Linked DNA regions of Callithrix jacchus. The protein of the gene in region 4 purifies or fractionates together with the protein of the main gene of each other region. This does not show direct contact. Links are inferred from orthologs where the notes say so. Each region holds a gene or a part of one and is shown on either strand. Other genes may lie near its edges. The genes, in order: CSNK1D, NEDD4L, VANGL1, DVL2 and PELI2.

The links.
Region 1: the proteins of DVL2 (region 4) and CSNK1D purify together in Homo sapiens (affinity purification with mass spectrometry; 3 studies listed by BioGRID and IntAct, with this or other methods). This does not show direct contact. The link is inferred for Callithrix jacchus from reciprocal best matches to the Homo sapiens genes DVL2 and CSNK1D.
Region 2: the proteins of DVL2 (region 4) and NEDD4L purify together in Homo sapiens (affinity purification with mass spectrometry; 4 studies listed by BioGRID and IntAct, with this or other methods). This does not show direct contact. The link is inferred for Callithrix jacchus from reciprocal best matches to the Homo sapiens genes DVL2 and NEDD4L.
Region 3: the proteins of DVL2 (region 4) and VANGL1 purify together in Homo sapiens (affinity purification with mass spectrometry; 4 studies listed by BioGRID and IntAct, with this or other methods). This does not show direct contact. The link is inferred for Callithrix jacchus from reciprocal best matches to the Homo sapiens genes DVL2 and VANGL1.
Region 5: the proteins of DVL2 (region 4) and PELI2 purify together in Homo sapiens (affinity purification with western blotting; 3 studies listed by BioGRID, with this or other methods). This does not show direct contact. The link is inferred for Callithrix jacchus from reciprocal best matches to the Homo sapiens genes DVL2 and PELI2.

What each region holds. Positions count from the first base shown.
Region 1 is NC_133506.1:137,905,255-137,909,970, reverse strand, and holds the start of CSNK1D (casein kinase I), read left to right. Parts: upstream 1-1,534; 5' UTR 1,535-1,584; coding exon 1,585-1,660; intron 1,661-2,352; exon of another isoform or gene 2,353-2,489; intron 2,490-4,716. UniProt on the Homo sapiens protein: Essential serine/threonine-protein kinase that regulates diverse cellular growth and survival processes including Wnt signaling, DNA repair and circadian rhythms. It can phosphorylate a large number of proteins.
Region 2 is NC_133514.1:101,386,991-101,391,102, forward strand, and holds part of NEDD4L (E3 ubiquitin-protein ligase NEDD4-like), read left to right. Parts: intron 1-200; coding exon 201-320; intron 321-1,440; coding exon 1,441-1,638; intron 1,639-4,112. UniProt on the Homo sapiens protein: E3 ubiquitin-protein ligase that mediates the polyubiquitination of lysine and cysteine residues on target proteins and is thereby implicated in the regulation of various signaling pathways including autophagy, innate immunity or DNA repair.
Region 3 is NC_133508.1:153,653,616-153,657,727, forward strand, and holds part of VANGL1 (vang-like protein 1), read left to right. Parts: intron 1-945; coding exon 946-1,078; intron 1,079-4,112.
Region 4 is NC_133506.1:73,716,959-73,721,070, reverse strand, and holds part of DVL2 (segment polarity protein dishevelled homolog DVL-2), read left to right. Parts: intron 1-87; coding exon 88-227; intron 228-316; coding exon 317-393; intron 394-1,598; coding exon 1,599-1,666; intron 1,667-1,848; coding exon 1,849-1,977; intron 1,978-2,096; coding exon 2,097-2,228; intron 2,229-2,362; coding exon 2,363-2,542; intron 2,543-2,989; coding exon 2,990-3,208; intron 3,209-3,319; coding exon 3,320-3,768; 3' UTR 3,769-4,112.
Region 5 is NC_133509.1:90,945,639-90,949,750, forward strand, and holds part of PELI2 (E3 ubiquitin-protein ligase pellino homolog 2), read left to right. Parts: intron 1-80; coding exon 81-278; intron 279-1,881; coding exon 1,882-2,070; intron 2,071-4,112. UniProt on the Homo sapiens protein: E3 ubiquitin ligase catalyzing the covalent attachment of ubiquitin moieties onto substrate proteins. Involved in the TLR and IL-1 signaling pathways via interaction with the complex containing IRAK kinases and TRAF6.

The DNA.
Region 1 (4,716 bases), about 64 Mb from region 4:
CGAGGGGAGGAGCAGCTGACAGGTGAACAGGTGCCCCTGGTCAGCGAGGGCAGGACTCCCCAGGAGGAAGGATCACAAGGATCACTGTCACCTGCAGGTGAGTTGGGCTCTGTTCATCAACAGAAAAACCGTGAGTGATTCTGTCAACAAGGTGATTTTTACCAGTCTGGTGCACCCTCCCCCCCACCACCCGCTTCTGTAACTCAGAAACTGGGCAGCTCCGACTGCCTGTCCCTCGTTAGTGACTGATGGTGTCTGGCTGACTGCATCTCCTGTCTTCAGGCCCTACTGTGTAACTTCAGGAATGGATATCTGCCTCCCCGGGATATCTACCTCCATGGGAGCTGAGGGGTGGAGAGGAAAGACGGGGATGGAGACTGGTGGGTGCCACTGCAGGGCCCTTCGGGGGCTGCTTTCCTCTTCTGCAGTGACCCAGATGCCAGCTGAGGCTTCTGTCTCACTTAGGCCACGGTGCCCACACCAGAGCCCTGAATTCACCTGTTTCACCTTCTTGAGTTTCAGCAAGGATGGGACAGGTTGAGACAGGTGGACATGGGACCACGGGGACTGGTTCTTCATGGTCCCCATGCGCCGCAGCCTGGGGGGGCTTCTCTGGAGGGCTTTCTTCCCAGTGATGGGAATCAAAGGCCCCAATCTTTGAAGCTGACCGTCAGCCTGAACGTGCACATCCTTGTTTTCTTTTGCAAGGAGGAATATTCAGATCCAACACAGATAAGAATGTTGACTCGGTCTCCAGGCCGCAGGGACTGGTGGGAGGCAGGTGGTCTGTCCTCATTTTGTGAAAGGTGGTAGCCTCGTCCTCATCCTTCAGGCTGGACATCAGGACCTCCCAGGGTGCGGGCCTCTCTGTCTCTGGCCTCAGGTGTCAGGAGGCAAAGCCGCTGACGTCCTGAGATGCCCCACGCCCGGGAACTGGCAGCCAAGTGAGAAGGTCTCACTTGTGTCCTCCGGGCCGGGCCTCAGCTACCTGTTCCCTCCTGCAAAGGGCACCGCCTGTCTCCAGGAACTCACCTGGCTCTCCCGAAATCTCGGGGGACACACGAAAAGCCCCAGTGAGAGCGGTAGGAGCCTGCACGTGGAAGGGGCTGGCGGCCTGAGGTCCTGGGATAATGGGCGGGCAGAGGGACTGGGGCCCTGCGAGACGGTGCAGGGTCCGAGGAGGCTGGGAGCGCTCGCCCCACCCGCCCCCGCCCCTCGAGCACTGCGGCCCCACCCGCCAGGGGGTTGCCAAGGGAAGTGACGTCACAGCGCGATGGCGGCGGCTCCTTCAGGCTGCTGAAAGGGGATTTAGGCCCCGAAGATCCGAGTCCATCCGCGGCGGGGAGAGGGCAAGCGGCGCCGGCAGGGGCCGGAGCAGCGGCGGCGGCGCTTGGACTGTCCCATCCGCCCCGTATTGAGGCGCTGGGAGCGACGGGGCAACGGGAAAGCGATGGTGAAAGCGGGGCCGTGAGGGGGGCGGAGCCGGCAGCCGGAGCCGCAGTAGCGGCAGCAGTGGCGCCGCCTCCCGGAGCTCAGACCCAGGAAGCGGCCGGGAGGGCAGGATCGAACCGGGCCGCCGCCGCCATGGAGCTGAGAGTCGGGAACAGGTACCGGCTGGGTCGGAAGATTGGCAGCGGCTCCTTCGGAGACATCTATCTTGGTGAGGCCCCGCCGTCCCCACCCGCCGTTTGAGGACCCGGGCCCCGCGGCTACCGAGACCAAGTGCGACCGCGGAAGGAAGTGGCGGCCCCCGCGGGGTCCGCGCGCAAGCCCTGCCGCCGCCGGGTCGTCGCTAGAACCCAACGGCCACTAGACAAGCGCGGCCGGGGTTGGGGAGGACAGTGGGGCGTGGACCTGGGGGAGGGGCAGGGTCGGGGGGTGGGGGAGCGGGGTCTGGAGAGGGGAGGGGTGGGAAAGAGGGGACAGGGGAGCCGACCCGGGGCGGGGCACGGTCTCGGGGGTGCGGAGTCGGGAAGGGGCAGGGTCGTCGGGGAGCGGACCCGCGAAGGGCTGGGTGGGGCGTGGGGAGGCGGGCCCAGGGGAGGGGCAGGGCGTGATGGGGGCCGCGGCCCGTGGGAGGGGAGGGGGAGGGGGCGGGGCAGGGCCGGGGCCGCGGGCGAGTGTCGGCTTGCTCCGCGCCTGAGGTCTCCGAGATAAACAAAGGCCATGCTCTTTCTTTCGCAGCCCTGTCCGAGGATGTTTGGCTCCCCAGTCAGAGGCTGCCCATGCGTCTTGCACGCGTGGGGGATAATGTCAGAAAGACCCGAATGCCGTGTGGAGCTGGGGGAGTGGCCTGGCTAGGAGCGGGGCTTGCCCTCCACCTCGCGGCCGCCGTCATGACTGACCGCTGGGGGTTCTCTCTGCACTGCGACCCTAGGCCTTGGAGCGGTGACTGAGTGCAAATGAAAGTCCCACAGGGTTAAGATGCTGGCAAAATGAGAGGCCCATGAAGTAGTAGTACTCATGAGCTGTCCTTTAACATTCTCAAGGTAGATTTCAAAAAAAAAAAAAAAATGGGATTAGAACATTCTGGGTTGTCATATTTACAACAGAAGAATATGCATGTGGGCACAAGTGTATTGAAAGATTGGCTGACATCTTCAAGTTTGTAAAAAAAATTTATTTTGAGATGGAATTTTGCTCTTGTTGCCCAGGTATAATGGCATGATCTCAGTTCACTGCAACCTCCACCTCCAGGGTTCAAGCGATTCTCCTGCCTCAGCCTCCCGAGTAGCTGGGACTACAGGCGCGTGCCACCACGCCTGGCTAATTTTCTATTTTTAGTAGAGACAGGGTTTCTGTATGTTAGTTAGGCTGGTCTCAAACTCCCGACCTCAGGTGATTCCCCGCCTCCCACCCCTTGGCCTCCCAAAGTGCTGGGATTACAGGCATGAGCCACCACGCCCAGCCCAAGTTTGTACATAATTTTAAAGTAACTTAATTTTCCGTACTTGTCAGTGGGATTGTGCAATACAGGAGTTATTCCAAGACCCCCTGAACTTGAGGATGTGTAGCCTCGTGGGCAGTGTGCCTGCAGAAGGCCTGATGCAGACCTTTGAGGGGACCTATTCTCTGTTCCAGCAGCCCCATCTCTGGGGTGTGTTTGGCTGGGGCACAGCCAGGGTCCGGAATCCTATGGGATGTCAGTAATGCCTCTGGTCGCACTTTTTAGATTAATCCGCATGTGAACAGTCCCTACATCTCATACCCTTCTCACTTTTCACCTGAGAGATGACTCAGGACCCAGTGGGCTGACAGCATTAGGCTGAACCCATACATTTGGGTGGGTCATACTTTGGGTGCCTGGTTAACCTACCAGTTAACCCTGTCACATGCCATATTGTTGCTTTTGAACCTGTATATATGCCTTAGCAGCCTGTGAGTAAAACACGCTTTAGATGTTTGGGTTGACTAAACATTTATACCCAGGTGGTCAGCTGGATATGTTCTTGGCAGTGTTTTGGAAGTCAGAGTGCTTGGTAAATGGAAGGCATTTGGCTTATTTATAGATTGATAGATTTTGGCAAAAGTTTTAACTCCACAGTCTGAGTTACACTGCAAAGCCAGTCCATTAACCACTCTTAGGCAGGCATCAAAAAGAAGTATTTTAGGCTGGGCGCAGTGGCTCATACCTGTAATCCCAGCACTTTGGGAGGCCAAGGTTGGCGGATCACTTGGGGTCAGTAGTTTAATACCAGCCTGGCTAACATGGCAAAACTCCTTCTCTACTAAAAATACAAAAATTAGCCGGGTATGGTGGCCGTCACCTGTGATCCCAGCTACTCAGGAGGCTAAGGCATCCTGAGAGGTACAGATTGCAGTGAGTCAAGGTCACACCACTGCACTCCTCTGAGACCTTGTCAGAACAACTTTGTGCTTTCCAAAGATAGATTCAGACAAATTCTGGTGTGGTTGTTACCAAGTCGTTCACAAAGGTGGAAGGTGGCAGGCTGTCTGCTCACTCATGGTTGCACCCTCAGGCCTCACCTCATGCTGGGCATGCAGTCACGCTGGAAACCATTAGGGTAGGGATTTCCGGTGACTGTGGCTCTGGCGCCCTGGGGTTGGAGCCTTCAGACAACCATCCATCAGGGTACATGTCCAGTTACTTGAGTGGGGTTGGGCACAGCTGATTTGTTTTTTTTCCATCAGCATTGGCTCCTGGCCTACATTTCAGTCCTTTCAGACGACCCCCCTGAGGAAATGAAAAGTGAAGTGGTCATGTAACCCGGAGTAAGGCAGGCTGGAGGAAGTGTGGGTCTGCGCAGAGCAGCAGTTAGAGTCAAGATGGCTGATCTGAAGACCGTGAAATCATCTCCACCATAGTTGGTTTGGGCAACCTGTTAGACACGAATCGAGGGACTGGACCTGTGTGTGTTGTGTGTATTCTCATATGAGCATAGTTAAAACCATTCCTGCTGCTGTCACTTTGGTATTCCTTCAGGTGGGCTTCACCTTGCTCTGAGCCTGGCTTTTGGGTTTTTGTTTTCCATCTGGCACTTCCTTTGCTTTCAGGTGTTTGAGACCTGGAGGAGAGGAAGGCTATGTTTCATTGCAGTGCTTGTAGGCTAGAAGCATGGTGTTGGCCTGCCTGTCCCCATCCTGCTGTGGCATTTGGGGGGCTGAACTGCAGTGCAGGGCCCTGCCAGGTTGTTGGATTCCAAAACGGCCCCTTCAAAGGAGGCAGTATTTTGAGGCTATTTCTTGAATGCCCAG
Region 2 (4,112 bases), on a different chromosome or scaffold from region 4:
GGCTAGTGATTCATTTTTATCTCCCTTAAATGTGTTTCCCCATCCTTTCCCCCATCATTATGTTTAATTATTTCCTCCATGCTTTAAATAGGCCAGACCTCTTATTATTGCTGGTTGCGTTGTTGTTTGGGTTCGCGCTCCTAATCACACACACAGGGAGAGACTCCTATGAAGCTAACTTGTTTTTGCCTCCAAAATAGCTTGCAGAAGATGGTGCGTCCGGATCAGCCACAAACAGTAGCAACCATCTAATCGAGCCTCAGATCCGCCGGCCTCGTAGCCTCAGCTCGCCAACAGTAACTTTATCTGCCCCGCTGGAGGTGAGACGGCTACCTCATCTAAATGGACTCACTCTGTCCTGTGACTCCCCATTCTTTCTTCTCTCTTAACTCTGCCTTCAGTTTCGCAGCCACCTCCTCTCTCTGATCAGTCGTTGTGTTGGTGGTGAAGGGTGTTCTCGTGCGACCTTTCTACCTGCTTCTCTGTCTCGCCCAGTTAACATTCCTGGACTCTCTCACCTGATTCTCATTCTCATTTGGCTGAAGCCATGGTGACTTGTGCTGGATGTGGGCATCTCTCTTTTCAGGATTTCCACCGTTCTTGTTGTGTTTTGCTCCTTTTTTGCCTGTTACCGCATTAGAATTGCATACTCCCTCTTTCAAATACCAAGTGCTGTTATTGAGTTGTTCAACATAGCTGTTGCTTTGATCATTTTTTTTTTCCTTCAACTGTAGGGCCTTTCATTATATGGGCATATGTGTTTCTGATGCACACTGGCATCTCTGCATCGTGGCTGGGCATCCGCTTGTGCTCTCTGCTGTGTTTGTGTTGTTTTAGTGCCATCCTTTAACATCACAAATGTCAGAGTTAGAGAAGCCAAAGAGCAAATGTCTGAGGTCCTAAGCTTTCCTGTGTTTTAGAGACAGCTGTGGGCTTCTCCATGCCCTGGGTCAAGATGCTGCTAAGTGGGAATAGATGCTGTCTTTTCCACACTCTGATATAAATGTCATGGGTAACGACTGTGAGATTCCAGATCTTTTTTATTGATGTAGTTTTTTCTTTTTTCTTTGTTTTTCCCCCTCTAAAACTTGCCAATCTATTCTTCATTAGAGTGTGAGCTCATTAAGAGCAAGGGCACGTTTCTCTCCACTCTGTAAAATCTCTATCCATAATGCTCAGTACAGAATAGTATTTTTTGGCATACTGAGTGGCTACCAAAGGACGGTGGTTATATGTACTTAATATTGTCGTGTGTTTATCCAACAGAGAAAATGTAAAGTTAGATTGATTTAAAAGTAAATGAATGACGGAAAACAGGTTTTGGGGGGGTCTTCCCTCTTGTCCATCTCCAAAGAGGAGCCTTCTACAGTGCCCTGGTACATTTTGACACATTGGAATCACACGTGCTAAAGAGTTCTAATGCTCATTGTTATTCTTTAGGGTGCCAAGGACTCACCCGTACGTCGGGCTGTGAAAGACACCCTTTCCAACCCACAGTCCCCACAGCCATCACCTTACAACTCCCCCAAACCACAACACAAAGTCACACAGAGCTTCTTGCCACCCGGCTGGGAAATGAGGATAGCGCCAAACGGCCGGCCCTTCTTCATTGATCATAACACAAAGACTACAACCTGGGTAAGGCTGCTGCTTTTATTTGGCCCCGTTTGCATCGTGAAGTCTGGCATTACTTTCTTTATTTCATTACTCCGTGTTTGTAGTTCTTGCAGAGGAATTGGATTGACTGTAAAGGGTGTCTCTAGTGGGTCTCCTCAGCCTGCACCTGGCCCCTGCATGGATGGGCGGGTGGGAGTTGGGGGGGGCACAGGCTGGTACCTCTCTTTGCTCTTGGTGCTGGGACCACCTTTTCTCCTGGGAAGCTCTGGTTTAGACAGTTGGCCATACTGGGTGGAAAGGTACTGCTCTGTGCTGTTAAGATTTTGCTATTATTCCATCCCATCTCAACGAAGTAGTCTCATTAGGAGTTATAATCATTTTCAAATAATTTTTTCTTTTGTCAGTTTTTTTTTTGCACTTTTATTGGCATCATCCACCTTCTTTTGATTTGTCACTTCAGTTTTTACTATTCACATCAGCTCAGTATTCACACATCTGTGCTGCCTTTTCATGCCTTTAATCACGGGGTAGGGGATGTACTGAGTGGCTTTGGTTATAAATCTGATAGCTCTTTTTTGTGATCATTTTGTCAGAATTGATTTTTCTTAGCATGCAACTCTTTCATGTGCTTCTGAATTGTATGAAAGAAAGAATCTGTACATTGTATTATCTTGAGCAAAATGGCATTAATCAAAGGTGAAAATACAAGCATATCTTTATATTTCTCCATCAGTTCTTTATTTCTTTAGCTCAATCAGCAGGTGGCTTTTTCAGTGTAGCATATAATTCTTTTAAAAGTCAGTTGGTATTTTCTACTATATAATCTCTGTACCTGTAGTGAAACTGAAATTTCTGGCTATTTTTGATGCTGCAGATGGTTGTTCCTCCTGCCTGTTATATTCCCATCTAATTGTCTGGCTCAAGTTAACTCAGAGTTTAGCTTAGTCCTACTATTGTCTGTGCTGCTTGCTCAGAACCACTGTTACGGGATTGCTGGTTGAGTGTTCGTGATTGTCACTGTCCCTAGCTCTTTGGTCTTGTGTCAGCAATGGACATACACCCTAAATCCCCATTTCCAGTGATGGACATTAAGTGTGTCCGTTTGCTAGATCGGGAGCAAGCCCTGACCAACGGGATTTGGGCTGTCATTTTGTGCCTCGCCCATTGTGTGGAATCAGTTCAGTCCAGCAGGTCTAGAGGGTGTGCTCCTAGAATCCTTTGGATCATGGGACATTGTGTCTTCAAGGGTGTTCTTGGCATTTGGGGCAGGGACATTTGTGCCTTCAGTTTCAGGCCACTTAACCTTGGCTTCTGCCACCAGGCACTAATGGTCACCATTACCCCCACCCCAACATAGCGACGACCAAAAATGCCCTACACATTTCAAAACAGCCCTAAGTGAGAACCACTCTGTGAGCTCTTTCTATTTTGAAGTAATGGAGTGGCCTGCCAAGAGAACTTCTCATTTAGGGCTGGTAACATTCATTTGGTAAACTGATAACTGCTTCTAAGGCATATAATAACATGTAGGTTCGTTTGACTTACCTACTGGTCTGAAGATAATGTTACAGATTTGCAGGCAAGACAAGAGGAAGAGACGGGCAGCTCTTTGGAAAATATAGTCATGGAGATTGGTTTTTAATCTTTTCTCTTATTACCATGAAACCCCTGGCTGTCCTGCCAGTGTTCTCATTTACTATAGCACTGCTGTAATTTCAAGTCCTCAGCCAGAAACGGGCTCCAGAAATAAGGGCTAAAGAATATAAAAGTAGATGGATTAGTGTAAGGAGCCACTGTGGCTTGCCAACATAAGCTATGATTTTAGTAATTTCAACTAGCTTAGTAATCGAATCCCTTAACCTTTCACAGCCTTTCAACAGCAGTGTAATTGCTGTTGGGCAGATTGTATTTTAAATTAAACAGCACTCACTCTATTTATTGCCTGCATCGTTGCTGAATGAAACCCATTTTTAATTTCCAGTTGTCTCTTTTTACCCAGATACTTGTTATTGACTAATTTACTGATTTAAAATTATAATCTGTTAGAACAACATTTTATTGCTGCTGCCAGTATGGAAAGTCCTCAAGATAACAACTGGAAATTCCACAAGTTACTCCCCTTCTTGAGCGAACTCAGATGTGCTGACACAGCTGCGTTATCACTTTTAAACAAAGGCCTAGGCAGGATTCTCCCTGCAGAAGACACACCCTAAATTGACTGCTCATTTTGACAAAAGATGGAGGGATGGAGGGAAGCCTGAAGATAATTTGCAGCTTAAAAATCTGTTTTGAGTTGGTTTGGGGGTTTGCTTTGTTTTTTTATTTTTGAAAGAGGAAGTGAACAAATGAGAGAACAGCATAGCTGTTCTTAGATTTGAATATTAGAATAGAAAAGGAAAAAAACTGATAGGACAGGTTGAGAATGATGAAAAAATAATACTCCTTCCTCCATCAGCCTGGGCACTGTTGATTCTTACACTAACCAGAAGCCTGAA
Region 3 (4,112 bases), on a different chromosome or scaffold from region 4:
CTCCACATCCTTGTACTGAGCACTACTTACATTAGGTGGTGGTGTCACCATTTCATAAAGAAACTGAGGTTTTCACAGATTGAATAACTTGTGCACAATCACACATCTGGTAGGGCGGAACCAAGATCTCTGTCTCCAAAATCTGCTTCTGTCCTGCCCGGGAGACCTTGGCAATGAGGGTGAGTGATTGTAGGAAGCAGGGCTGATGTCAAGGAGGCTGTGGGGGCAGGAGGCTGAGGGAACTCACTGACCCTTGAGAAGTCCTTAGGTGGCCACAAAAGGAACCACAGTGATTGGTTCCTTTTGGAATTTCATGAATGACCCCCAGGCAGGATTCTTACAATCACCCTGGAAGACCACCCTGGAAGTTCCTGTGGGGTAAAATGATGCAGCAGACTGCTTTCTTCAGGAGGCCTGAAATCCTCCCCGAACACACACACACACACACACATACACACACACACACACACCCTCCACAACTCTTGGTGCCTTTTGCCCTAGCTTGTTTGTTTCTGTGGTTGTCTTCAAGTTCAGCTAGAACCTATGGGAATGACTTAGTTTTGAACTCGTAAGAATGAGAAGTACACAATTCAACCAAATCAAACCAGTAATTATTACAGGAAGGTGTAACTAGCTACAGAAATTCTAAAATTACAATTTTAGTCTTTGAAAAAAATATCGCTGTTGATAAAGGAAGAGTGACTCTTTGTTTTGGGTCTTGGAATGGCAGAAGGAAAATATTAAGGAGGCAGTAAAAATCTGTGTACCCCTTGAAGAGTGGTGAGGATGTACGTGTTTTGATGCTGTGTGTGCATTTGCGTGTGCACGTGGGCCCATGTATATGTGTGTAGAATTTTCCTAAGTTCAAAATGATACTTACATTTCTGTGAACCCAGAGAGTTAATTAACATGGCATAAATGTGCTAGCTCATTGTTGTTTTTCAGGGAGAGAACTAGAGAGAGACACAAATCACCCCGGAGTAAAGATGGCAGAGGGTCAGAAAAGTCTGTCACCATTCAAGCTCCCACTGGAGAGCCCCTGTTGGCAAACGATTCCACCCGGACAGAGGAAGTTCAGGTAACGATCGACGGCCGTCTGTAAGCACACTGCCACGTGGCCAAGACTCCTTTCTGTAAATGTTTTCCTAAGTCTTGTTGCAGTAGGTTCTCTTGGGTTTCTGTCTTTATTTTCCTAGCATGCTAATTAGTTTATCTACGTCCTCTGGTCTCTTGTTGGTCTAAGAACAGCCTGTCCTGCCCTTTGGTAGCTTGGGGATTCTTCTGAAGTATGATTGGTTGGCCTGCTCTGCATGGTGTGAAAAGAAGCCAGCCAGGTTGACGACAGGGAAGGGAAGGGAAAAGCTGAAGTCTCCCACAACTCATTTCAAAATGGAACAGTATAAGAAGGAGAAGGAAACCCAGAAAACCTACGTAGTGTTAAGAAGAGGGAAAAACGTGGGGCAGCCCAGACTGAAACATTACTACTAGATCTATGCAGTAAATCAGAGGCTGCACACACGGATACCTGGTAGAGGAACATAAGTTAATTAAGGAGGCCCTGGGTCAACAAGAGGGGGCAAAAATATCTCAAACAAGCTTTGGGTTAACAGCAGTCTCTGCAGTGCCTCAGTGTCACTGCTGTTGTGTGCAGTGAAGGAGCCTGTGGCAAACTGAAGAATGCACTTTCTCTGCAAAGGAAACAGCAGCTTTGCAGCTCCAGACACCTACTCTGCTCAGGAATTCAAGGATTCAGTGTTTAAGCTGGAGGGCCAGGCGCGGTGGCTCACACCTGTAATCCCAGCCCTTTGGGAGGCGGGTGGATCACGAGGTCAAGAGATCCAGACCATCCTGGTCAACAAGGTGAAACCCCATCTCTACTAAAAATACGAAAATTAGCTGGGCATGGTGGCGCTTGCCTGTAATCCCAGCTACTCGGGAGGCTGAGGCAGGAGAATTGCTTGAACCCAGGAAGCGGAGGTTGCAGTGAGCCGAGATTGTGCCATTGCACTCCAGTCTGGGTAACAACAGCAAAATTCCGTCTCAAAAAAAAAAAAGAAAAAGAAAAGCTAATTTTCTTTTTTATATTTTATATTATTTTTGAAATATACTTCATTTTTTAAAACATTGAGTGGGTTCTTCTCGAGGTTCCAACTGGCAGCCCATCTGATTTAAATAAACATCTGAACTATACACAGAAACATGTTTGCACACCCTCTGCACATCCTGAAATATATATACACATGTCCAGCCTTGCCCCTCATAAACAAAGCAGCGTATGATACACAGCTGTAAAGATAGATGTAGGACTGTAGATAAGCATAAATCTGTACATACCTCTGCGTACACACAGGTAAGCATTTATAATCAGATAGATGGACTTGGAATTCCTAGGAGCACACAAGGTGCTCTTGGGACACAAAGCGACAGTTGTGGGTTGAACATGGGCTTCATTGAGCAGTGAGCAAATGTCTTTAGTGCTGCCTGCTTTGGCTGTGGGGTGGCTGGTGGTTGGATGGGGCCAGTCCTAGGACTGGGTCACCCTGGAGCGTGGCGGGGGGGGCGGTCAGTTTCCTCCTGGATGTGCATTCAGAGGTGCTGGTGGCCTACAATGAGGGCGCTGCTTTCTCCACATCTCCTCTGCACCTCATAGCTGAGAACTACTTTGGGAAGCTGTTGGTGCTGCTCCAGGATAATCTGGTGAGAAAGGCATTGAGATGGGTGTTTGGAGGCTGTATTTCTCAGTAGCTCCGTTACCTTGAGCAGTCACAGCCTTTGTAGGCCTCAGTTTCTTTATGGAAATCTAGGGGTTTTGATGAAAGAATCCTAGGTCCTTTTTCTTCTAAGAACCTCAAGCTTGACAGGACCCTTTGTACATGTACATTTTTTAGGCATGCATGTGCACCCCGGGAAATTCTCTTGGGCCCTTCCTAGTCAATCTCTGCCTCACCCTCGCCTCTCCAAGGCAACCACTGTGTTGATTTCTATCACTGTAGATTAATTTTTGCCTGTTTTTGAATTTAATATAATTAGAATCATATGGTCTGTCTCCCTCACACCCACCACCCCGCTCAGCATAATGATTTTGAGATTTATCCATGTTTTGGTTTGTTTCAACAGCTTATTTTTTTTACTTTTGCTGAATGGTATTCCATTGTATCAGTGTACCACAATATATTATCCATTCTCTTAGTCGATGGACATGTGGGTTGTACCATTTTGGCTGTTATGAACATTCTTCTTGTTGTCTGTTGTTGGATATATCTTTTCTTTTTCTTTCTTTCTTTTTTTTTTTTTTCTCTTGAGACACAGTCTTGCTTTCTTGTCCAGGCTGGAGTCCAGGGACGCAGTCTCAGCTCATTGAAGTCTCCACCTCTGGGGTTCAAACAATTCTCTTGCCTCAGCCTCCTGAGTAGCTGGGATTACAAGCATACACCACCATGCCCGGCTCATTTTGTATTTTTAGTAAAGACAGGGTTTCATTATGTTGGCCAGGCTGGTCTCAAACTCCTGACCTCAGGTGATTTGCCTACCTTGGCCTTCCAAAGTGCTAGGATTATAGGCGTGAGCCACTGCGCCCAGCTGGATGTATGTTTTTATTAATTTTTGGATAAAACGTGAGAGTGGAATTGCTGGGCCATAGAGTTAAGCGTATATTTAAATTTATGTGAAACAGCCAGAGTGGTTTTCCAGAGGCACTGTACCATGGTCCACGTCCACCAGCGGTGTCTGAGAGTCCTGGCTGCCTCTGGCCATCATCTTAAATAGGAATTTCGTGTATGTGATCCGTCTAACTTTCCAAGTTGAAGGATTATTGGTTCATAGGACTGAGACCTTCACCACCACCACTTCTTACCATTGCCCATACATTTCATAAATCATGTTTTTTTTGGTTATTACTAGATTTGGGATTATTTGGTTATGAGCGAAATCTGTCTTGCTGATTTAGCTGCCAACTTGGACTAGCTTTTTCTTTTTTTTTTTTTTTTTTTTTTGAGACGGAGTTTCGCTCTTGTTACCCAGGCTGGAGTGCAATGGTGGGATCTTGGCTCACCGCAACCTCCGCCTTCTGAGTTCAAACAATTCTCCTGCCTCAGCCTCCTGAGTAGCTGGGA
Region 4 (4,112 bases):
AAGCCTGTGGCGAGGGCGTGGGGAGGGCCTGGTCTCTCTGGGGCTTGCGACTGGGGCCTCCTCCCCTCACACGGTCTCTCTCCACAGAGAAGTACAACTTCCTGGGCATCTCCATTGTGGGCCAAAGCAATGAGCGGGGAGATGGAGGCATCTACATTGGTTCCATCATGAAGGGTGGGGCCGTGGCAGCCGATGGGCGCATTGAGCCAGGGGACATGCTTTTGCAGGTGTGTTGGGGCAGGGCCATTGAGCTGCCCTGTGTGGGGGCCCTCATACTCTCCCAGCCGGCTTCTGACCCCCTTCCCCTCGCTTCCAGGTGAATGACATGAACTTTGAGAACATGAGCAATGATGACGCCGTGCGGGTGCTGAGGGACATTGTGCACAAGCCTGGGTGAGTTGCTGAGCAGGCTGCAGGTCGTCAGTCTTTTTTTTTTCCCCCTTTAACTTTTTGTTTTGCAATTTTAATAAGTGGTAAGACAATCAGGCCCAATAGCTCACCCCTGTAATCTCAGTACTTTGGGAGGCTGAGGTGGGTGGATCACCTGAGGTCGGGAGTTTAAGACCAGCCTGGCCAACATGGTGAAACCCCAACTCCACTAAAAACAGAAAAATGGCCAGGTGCAGTGGCTCGCACCTGTAATCCCAGTACTTTGGAAGGACAAAGCGGGCGGATCACCTGAGGTCAGGAGTTCGAGACCAACCTGACCAACATAGAGAAACCCTCTCTCTTCTAAAAAATATAAAATTAGTTGGGTGTGGTTGCATATGCCTGTAATCCCAGCTACTCGGGAGGCTGAAGCAGGAGAATCGCTTGAACCTGGGAGGTGGAGGTTGCGGTGAGCCAAGATTGTATCATTGTACTCCAGCCTGGGCAACAGAAGTGAAAACTCCATTTAAAAAAAAAAATATTAGCTGGGTATAGTGGTGCTCCCCTGTAGTCCCAGCTAGTGGGGAGTGAGAAAGGAGAATTGCTTGAACTCTGGGGCAGGGGCAGAGGTTGCCGTGAACTGCCATGCCACTGTACTTTAGCATGGGCAACAGAGCAAGACTCTGAAGAAAAAAAAGGGGGAGTAAGACATAACACTCAAAGTACATGAAACAAATTCGTGATGTAGCAAATAATACTAGAGCGAATACTCATGTCGCCACCACCTAGACCATCAAATAGAGATTGCTGACACCCTAGATCCCCCTCCACAGACCCCCCTTCCTGCTCCCCAATGCCTCACCCCCCAGGGCTAGTCACTCTGCTGACTTCCCGGGTCATCACCACAACAAAGAAAAGCTTTACCTCCCTCCATAGTTACCACCCTTGCATGTATCCTTGAACAGCGCGGTTTTACCTGTCTTTGGACTTTCTTTGAATGGAATTGTACAGCGTGTACTCTCGTCTCACTTGGCAGTATGTTTTTAAGAGTTTCCATGTTGATGAGTCATTCACATTGTGGTGCCTTCCACCCTCACCTTCCCTAGCCCAGCTGAGACATGCTGGCTTCTCCCCATCTTTGTGTCTCTTAATTCATCCTTGCTTCAGCGCCCCCCCACCCCAGGCCTCTTCTTCCCCTGAGCCCTTGACTGGTCTTCTCTTCCCCATAGCCCCATCGTGCTGACTGTGGCCAAGTGCTGGGATCCCTCTCCTCAGGCCTACTTCACCCTCCCCCGAAGTGAGTGACACTCAGGGAGGGGCCTGAAGTTGGTGGTGGGGGTGGCTGGGGCTGGCCTCTGATTATGGGGAATGTGTGGAGGAAGGTCCAGGCAGAGGTAGAACGGGAGGCTGAGTCAGGGAGGGACTGGGCTGGCTTTTGGGGACTGAGAAGGGGTCATTTTGGTACCATCTTTGTCCCAGATGAGCCCATCCAGCCAATTGACCCTGCTGCCTGGGTGTCCCACTCCGCGGCTCTGACTGGCACCTTCCCAGCCTACCCAGGCTCCTCCTCCATGAGCACCATTACATCAGGATCCTCTTTGCCTGATGGTGAGCTGCCAGCCTACCTCATTTCACCCTCCTGCCAGAGGGCTGCCCCGAAGTGGTGTGACCCATGGCCCTTGTGGGAGTGACCCTGCCTCTTGATGCCCCATTGTCTCCTCCACCAGGCTGTGAGGGCCGGGGTCTCTCCATCCACACAGACATGGCATCGGTCACTAAGGCCATGGCAGCTCCAGAGTCTGGGCTGGAAGTCCGGGACCGCATGTGGCTCAAGATCACCATCCCTAATGCCTTCCTGGGTATGGCTGGGTCCTGGGCAGGTGGCTGGAGAAGGGGAGGAGGAGGTGACCGAAGCTGGGAACAGCACAGGCAGAGGTGAGAGCAGGAGTTGGAAGGAGAACCTGAGCCCTTTTTCCACTGTGGGTGCCCCCAGGCTCAGATGTGGTTGACTGGCTCTACCATCATGTGGAGGGCTTTCCAGAGCGGCGGGAGGCCCGAAAATATGCCAGTGGACTGCTCAAAGCTGGCCTGATTCGACACACTGTCAACAAGATCACCTTCTCTGAGCAGTGCTATTACATCTTCGGAGACCTCAGTGGTGGCTGTGAGAGCTGTGAGTCCCCCTGCCCTGACTCTGGGAGTGTGGCTCTGCCTGCCTTGTTCTGCCTCTCCAACCCTAGACCTAGCCCAGAAACCGCAGCCAGGGCCACCATGGATGGTTGAGCAGCATGTGTCCCGAACTAGGTCCTGCACTGGCCAAGGATGGGGGCTGACGTCCACCCATGCGCTGCTGGACAAACCACGCCAGGTGCAGGACTGTCCACCGGGGGAAGGTGCACCTCTTTCTGAGTCCCGCAGAGGCATGGGCTAGTGGTGGCCCTGGCTGTGTCCTGCCCTCATGGCAGAAGTAGATGGGAGTTTCCTGTCAGAGGCCCTTGTGAACCCGTTTTGAGCCCCATCGTGGGTGGGTCTGGGAGAACTGTTCCAGTTCCTCTCATTCAGTGTCTTAGGGCCCTAGTCTCTTTGAAGCAGTGATTTACTCTCTTCCCTTGCTTTCCAGACCTAGTTAACCTGTCTCTCAATGACAACGATGGCTCCAGTGGGGCTTCAGACCAGGACACCCTGGCCCCTCTGCCTGGGGCTGCCCCCTGGCCCTTGCTGCCCACTTTCTCCTACCAGTACCCAGCCCCACATCCCTACAGCCCGCAGCCCCCACCCTACCATGAGCTTTCATCTTATACCTATGGTGGGGGCAGTGCCAGCAGCCAGCACAGTGAGGGTAAGTCACCCCCAGATACCTAATAAGCCAGGTCTGAGGGTGGATCAGAGGGGAGCCAGGGAGGAGCCTGGGTGAGGACTCAGTTGCCCCTCCCCTCCCCTCCCTCCACAGGCAGCCGGAGCAGTGGGTCGACACGAAGTGATGGGGGGGCAGGGCGCACAGGGAGGCCTGAGGAGCGGGCCCCCGAGTCCAAATCCGGCAGTGGCAGCGAGTCTGAGCCCTCCAGCCGAGGGGGCAGCCTTCGGTGGGGTGGGGAACCAAGTGGGACTGGCGATGGGGGCCCTCCTTCCTCCAGAGGCTCAAGTGGGGGTGCCCCTAATCTCCGAGCCCACCCGGGGCTCCATCCCTATGGACCACCCCCTGGCATGGCCCTCCCCTACAACCCCATGATGGTGGTCATGATGCCCCCACCCCCACCCCCAGTCCCTCCAGCAGTGCAGCCTCCAGGGGCCCCTCCAGTCAGAGACCTGGGCTCTGTGCCCCCAGAACTGACAGCCAGCCGCCAAAGCTTCCACATGGCCATGGGCAATCCCAGTGAGTTCTTTGTGGATGTTATGTAGCCTGCTGTGGGCCAGGCTGGGCCTGGTGCTCCTGGTGTGTGACTGGGTATCCCGGCCATCATGTGCTTGCTCTCAGAGTGCCTGGGCTCAGCCTGCCGGCTGCTGCCAGACAGGAGATCGTGGTCACTGTGACTCTCACCAGCAGTGCCTGGTTCCTCCCCCTTCCCTCAGGGGTAAACAAGGAACCTTTTATTTTTAGCTTTGTTTTTTTATAAGCTTTTTTGGGGGTTAAAATAGAGTTTCTTACACTTTTGGGACTATTTTTTAAATAGGCATTTCCTCTTTTGTATGAAGAATCCCCATCTGTTGGGCCCCTTGTTCTAACCCCAGAATGTGACCTCCTC
Region 5 (4,112 bases), on a different chromosome or scaffold from region 4:
CTGAATGCCTTTTCCATGTGGGTAAAATACAGCACCATGCTATTTTCCAAGTGAATCACGAGCACATTTGATTCATTTAGGTGGGCAGATCAACAGAAAGCCCTATCGACTTCGTTGTCACAGATACGATTTCTGGCAGCCAGAACACGGATGAAGCCCAGATCACACAGAGCACCATATCCAGGTTTGCCTGCAGGATCGTGTGTGACAGGAATGAGCCTTACACAGCACGGATATTTGCCGCTGGATTTGACTCTTCCAAAAACATATTCCTTGGAGTAAGTACTGTCAAGAAGTACGTGATTTCCCGAAAAATGCTTATAATTATGATATGGAACATTTAGTTGGAGCAAAAAAAATTGGCTTTATATGTTGCCTCTAATGAGGTTTTGCAGATTTTAGTTTTCAGGTGGCCAGTTTGAGAAACTGTCATTAAAAATCTGAACATTAATAACCATTACTTGTTCATTATATTTTTTTATATTGTAATATTTACAGTAAGTTTTTAAGTATGCGTAGAACATTGTCCATAAAGCATTTATGGCAGTTATAGGTTTATTTCAGAGAGAGAAATAAATGGCCAAATTTAGATCATTAGGGCTCAGAGGAAAATGTTAGTGATTCATTCATTCAAAAATGTTTTATTGAATGTTTGCTATGTTTTATACTGGGTGTTTTAGATGTGGGATTACAGAGAATAAAACAGACTTAAATCCCTGTCCTCATAGGGTTTCCTTGTAAATGAACCCCAGAAGTTTTAGTGAATATCCAGGTTTACCCTAGTTCCCTTTTGAATTAGGATATTTTTGTAGGGAAAAAAGAACCCACTCAAAATGGTCTAAAAACAATGAAAATGTACTGTGCCACATAAGAATTGCTGAAGAAGGCCAGCTCCAGGGTTGGTGGTTCAGTGGTTCTGTGACATCCAGGGCCCCAGGTTCTCTCTGTCTTGCCTTCTGCCTCCCATGGCGCACCAGCCTCTTCATGAGAAGTCTTCTTCTGGGTGACAGCTGACTCCTGCACTTCCACATGTCCCCTGCCACGTGACAACTTCCAACCAGAGAATAGGGTGGCAGAAGCACTGTTTCTTCCTTGTCTCTTCTTAGAGCACAGATGCCTTTTACGGAAGCTTCCCAGAAGATATGTGTCATCAATCAGAGCCCAGACATGTTCTATGCCCACCTGTAAACCAGCCATTGGGAAGAGGGCTACGAGTGTCATGTTGGCTTCATCAGGATTTCCCTCCCCTCAGCCTCGTGAACAGTAGCTGAGCTCTGTCACCAAGAAAGCTGAGGGGAAGAGCTGTGGCACAGGCACCCAAGAGTGTCCTGTCATCATGTCAAGCTACATGTGCCATCATCTTTGAGAAGATAAACACTGATTGTTGGGAAAACATAATGGCCCCGACTTGTTGGCTTCACATGTTTTGAATTTTCTGCCTTTAATAAAAAATGTTTCTTTATGACTATCCTTACTTCTCTATCCTGACAATGAGTACATAGAAAGCACTTTTGGGTAGCAGAATAAGAGCATGGCCCAAATATAACTGAAAAGAGAAAGCACACCAGATTCCTGGAATCACATGGGGTTGTGGGGAGTGTAAAAAGAATCAGAGGGAGGAGCCCAGCCATCAGTTTTTTGCAAGCTCTTGAGAACTATCATATGTGTCCAGTGATAAATCATTCATCTGTTTCAACACTTTTATATTGCCAAAATAATTGCATATTTTATCCTTGTGTGATTATAAGCTTTAAATAGAAAATGCAAATTCATCACCTTCCTTCCCTCTGCCTCTACGCAATGAATTAAAGAAATTCCAGAATCCTTTCCATTTGAATGTCATCTTAGCCTGCTTTTTGTGTTCTGCCTTGTACTCTCCAGGAAAAGGCAGCAAAGTGGAAAAACCCTGACGGCCACATGGATGGGCTCACTACGAATGGCGTCCTGGTGATGCATCCACGAGGGGGCTTCACCGAGGAGTCCCAGCCTGGGGTCTGGCGCGAGATCTCCGTCTGTGGAGATGTGTACACCTTGCGAGAAACCAGGTCGGCCCAGCAACGAGGAAAGCTGGTGAGTGCACTTCACTCTGGAAAATGTTCCACACAACACAAGCCTAACACAGAGGCTGTCGTTTTCCCTCCCCTGAGGTTCAGAACCTTTGTACGGGTCCAAGCACTGTGTACCATAACCCAGGAGAAGCAGAATTCCACAGGCACCTGAAAGCAAGAGGGAAAGGGCCTTATTTTCTTCAATGGCCCAACTTTTCCCATAGTGGGAGTAAGTTGCCTTTTGCTCCTTACCACCTTAAGAGCATTATCTTTTATTATAGACCTCACCACAAAAATCTACTTAAATTCACTTTAAGGAAAATAAACTTATTTTTAGTGTAAAACTTTATTGATTTGGAAAACATTTGAGTAGTCCAAAAACAATTAGTAAAAATTATGAATTAGAGAATTATTTATAATTAGCTGGGCATGTTGGTGCACACCTGTAGTCCCAGCTTTTCAGGAGGCTGAGGCAGGAGAATTGCTTGAACCTGGAGGTGAAGGTTGTGGTGAGCCAAGATCGTGCCACTGCACTTTAGCCTGGGCAACAGAGCAAGACTCCATCTCAAAAAAACAAAAAATGAATTATGCCAGATGCAGTTGCTTACGCCTGTAATCCCAAGCACTTTGGGAGGCTGAGGCTGGCAGATCACAGGTCAAGAGATTGAGACCATCATGGCCAACATGGTGAGTGAAACCTCATCTCTACTAAAAATAAAAAAATTAGCTGAATGTGGCGGCACATGCCTATAGTCCTAGCTACTCAGGATGCTGAGGCAGGAGAATCGCTTGAACCTGAGAGGCAGAGGTTGCAGTGAGCCAAGATCGCACCACTTCACTACAGTCTGGTGTCAAGAGTGAGACTCAGTCTCAAAACACAAAACAACAAAAAAAAAGAATTATTTACTAGACCTTCTGCAACTAAGAAATAGTTAAGTCAGCTGGTTTTCCCCTTGAATTCTTATATATTAATGCAGAATTCTCTATATTGTCCACCAAAATCATAGTTAGAACTTTTCACTTGAAATAATTTATATACTACATTGACCTGGCATGTTAATATTTTCCTATAAATATCACCACTTATCCCCATGCCCTAAAGCAGTTTTTTAAACCCATTCTTCCTTGGAGAATAATTATAGTACCTTAAATGTAGAACTTTGGGTTTCTGATCTTGCTATAGCCATGTGGCATAGCCGCTGAAAGATTTTTACTAAACTATCCATTCCTGTACTTTTGCTTAATTTGTTAGGTAGAAGCTAGAATGAAGGAGAAAAAATGTCTTTTTCTAGAAGCTAGAAAAGAAGGAGTTTTTCAAAACTCCCACAGAGCAAAATGTATAAGGAGTAGAGGATTTGACCTAGCACTTTTCAGAGAGAAGGATCATCACCAAAGATGTCTAAGATGGAAAAAGAAGTTGGGAGCTATAAAGAAAAACTAAAACCAGATAGATAGATAGATAGATAGATAGATAGATAGATAGATAGATAGATAGATATAGAAGCTGGGAGCTGTTTTGCTACCCTGATTTGCTGTTCTTTACTGGAAGGGAATGGTTATTTTTATTTCTATTTTACACCATTTTTCAGCTATAGGCACAGCTTCTGCATTTTACAATGCATATGGCTGAAATAAATATGAGAAGCATTTTCTAAGGAAAATCGTGCAATTTCAATGAATTTTGTATAAATGTTTTCAAGAAATTGTAAACAGAGAAGCAAATGTGACAGGAATTTTTCTAAATAACCTTTTGTTTCTGATCACTGGATAGTTTTATACAAAACTGACCTAGCTTGGCCAAACTGGCTATTCATCATTATAACAGCAAGAGTAAGAAGTCAGTAAATGGTTGCTGATGCAGGTACTACATTAACATTTCCGACATCAGCTCACTTAATCTGCACAGCAGCCCTCTAAGGGAAGTAGAGTCATCCCCATTTCATGGATAAAGACGCTGTGGCTTGAAGTTAAAGACTGCCCGGTGTCACAGAGTTAGAAGTGGCAGCCAGTGGGATTCAGACTCAGGTCTCCCCGATGGAGAGTCTGGACATCTAATACTACTGG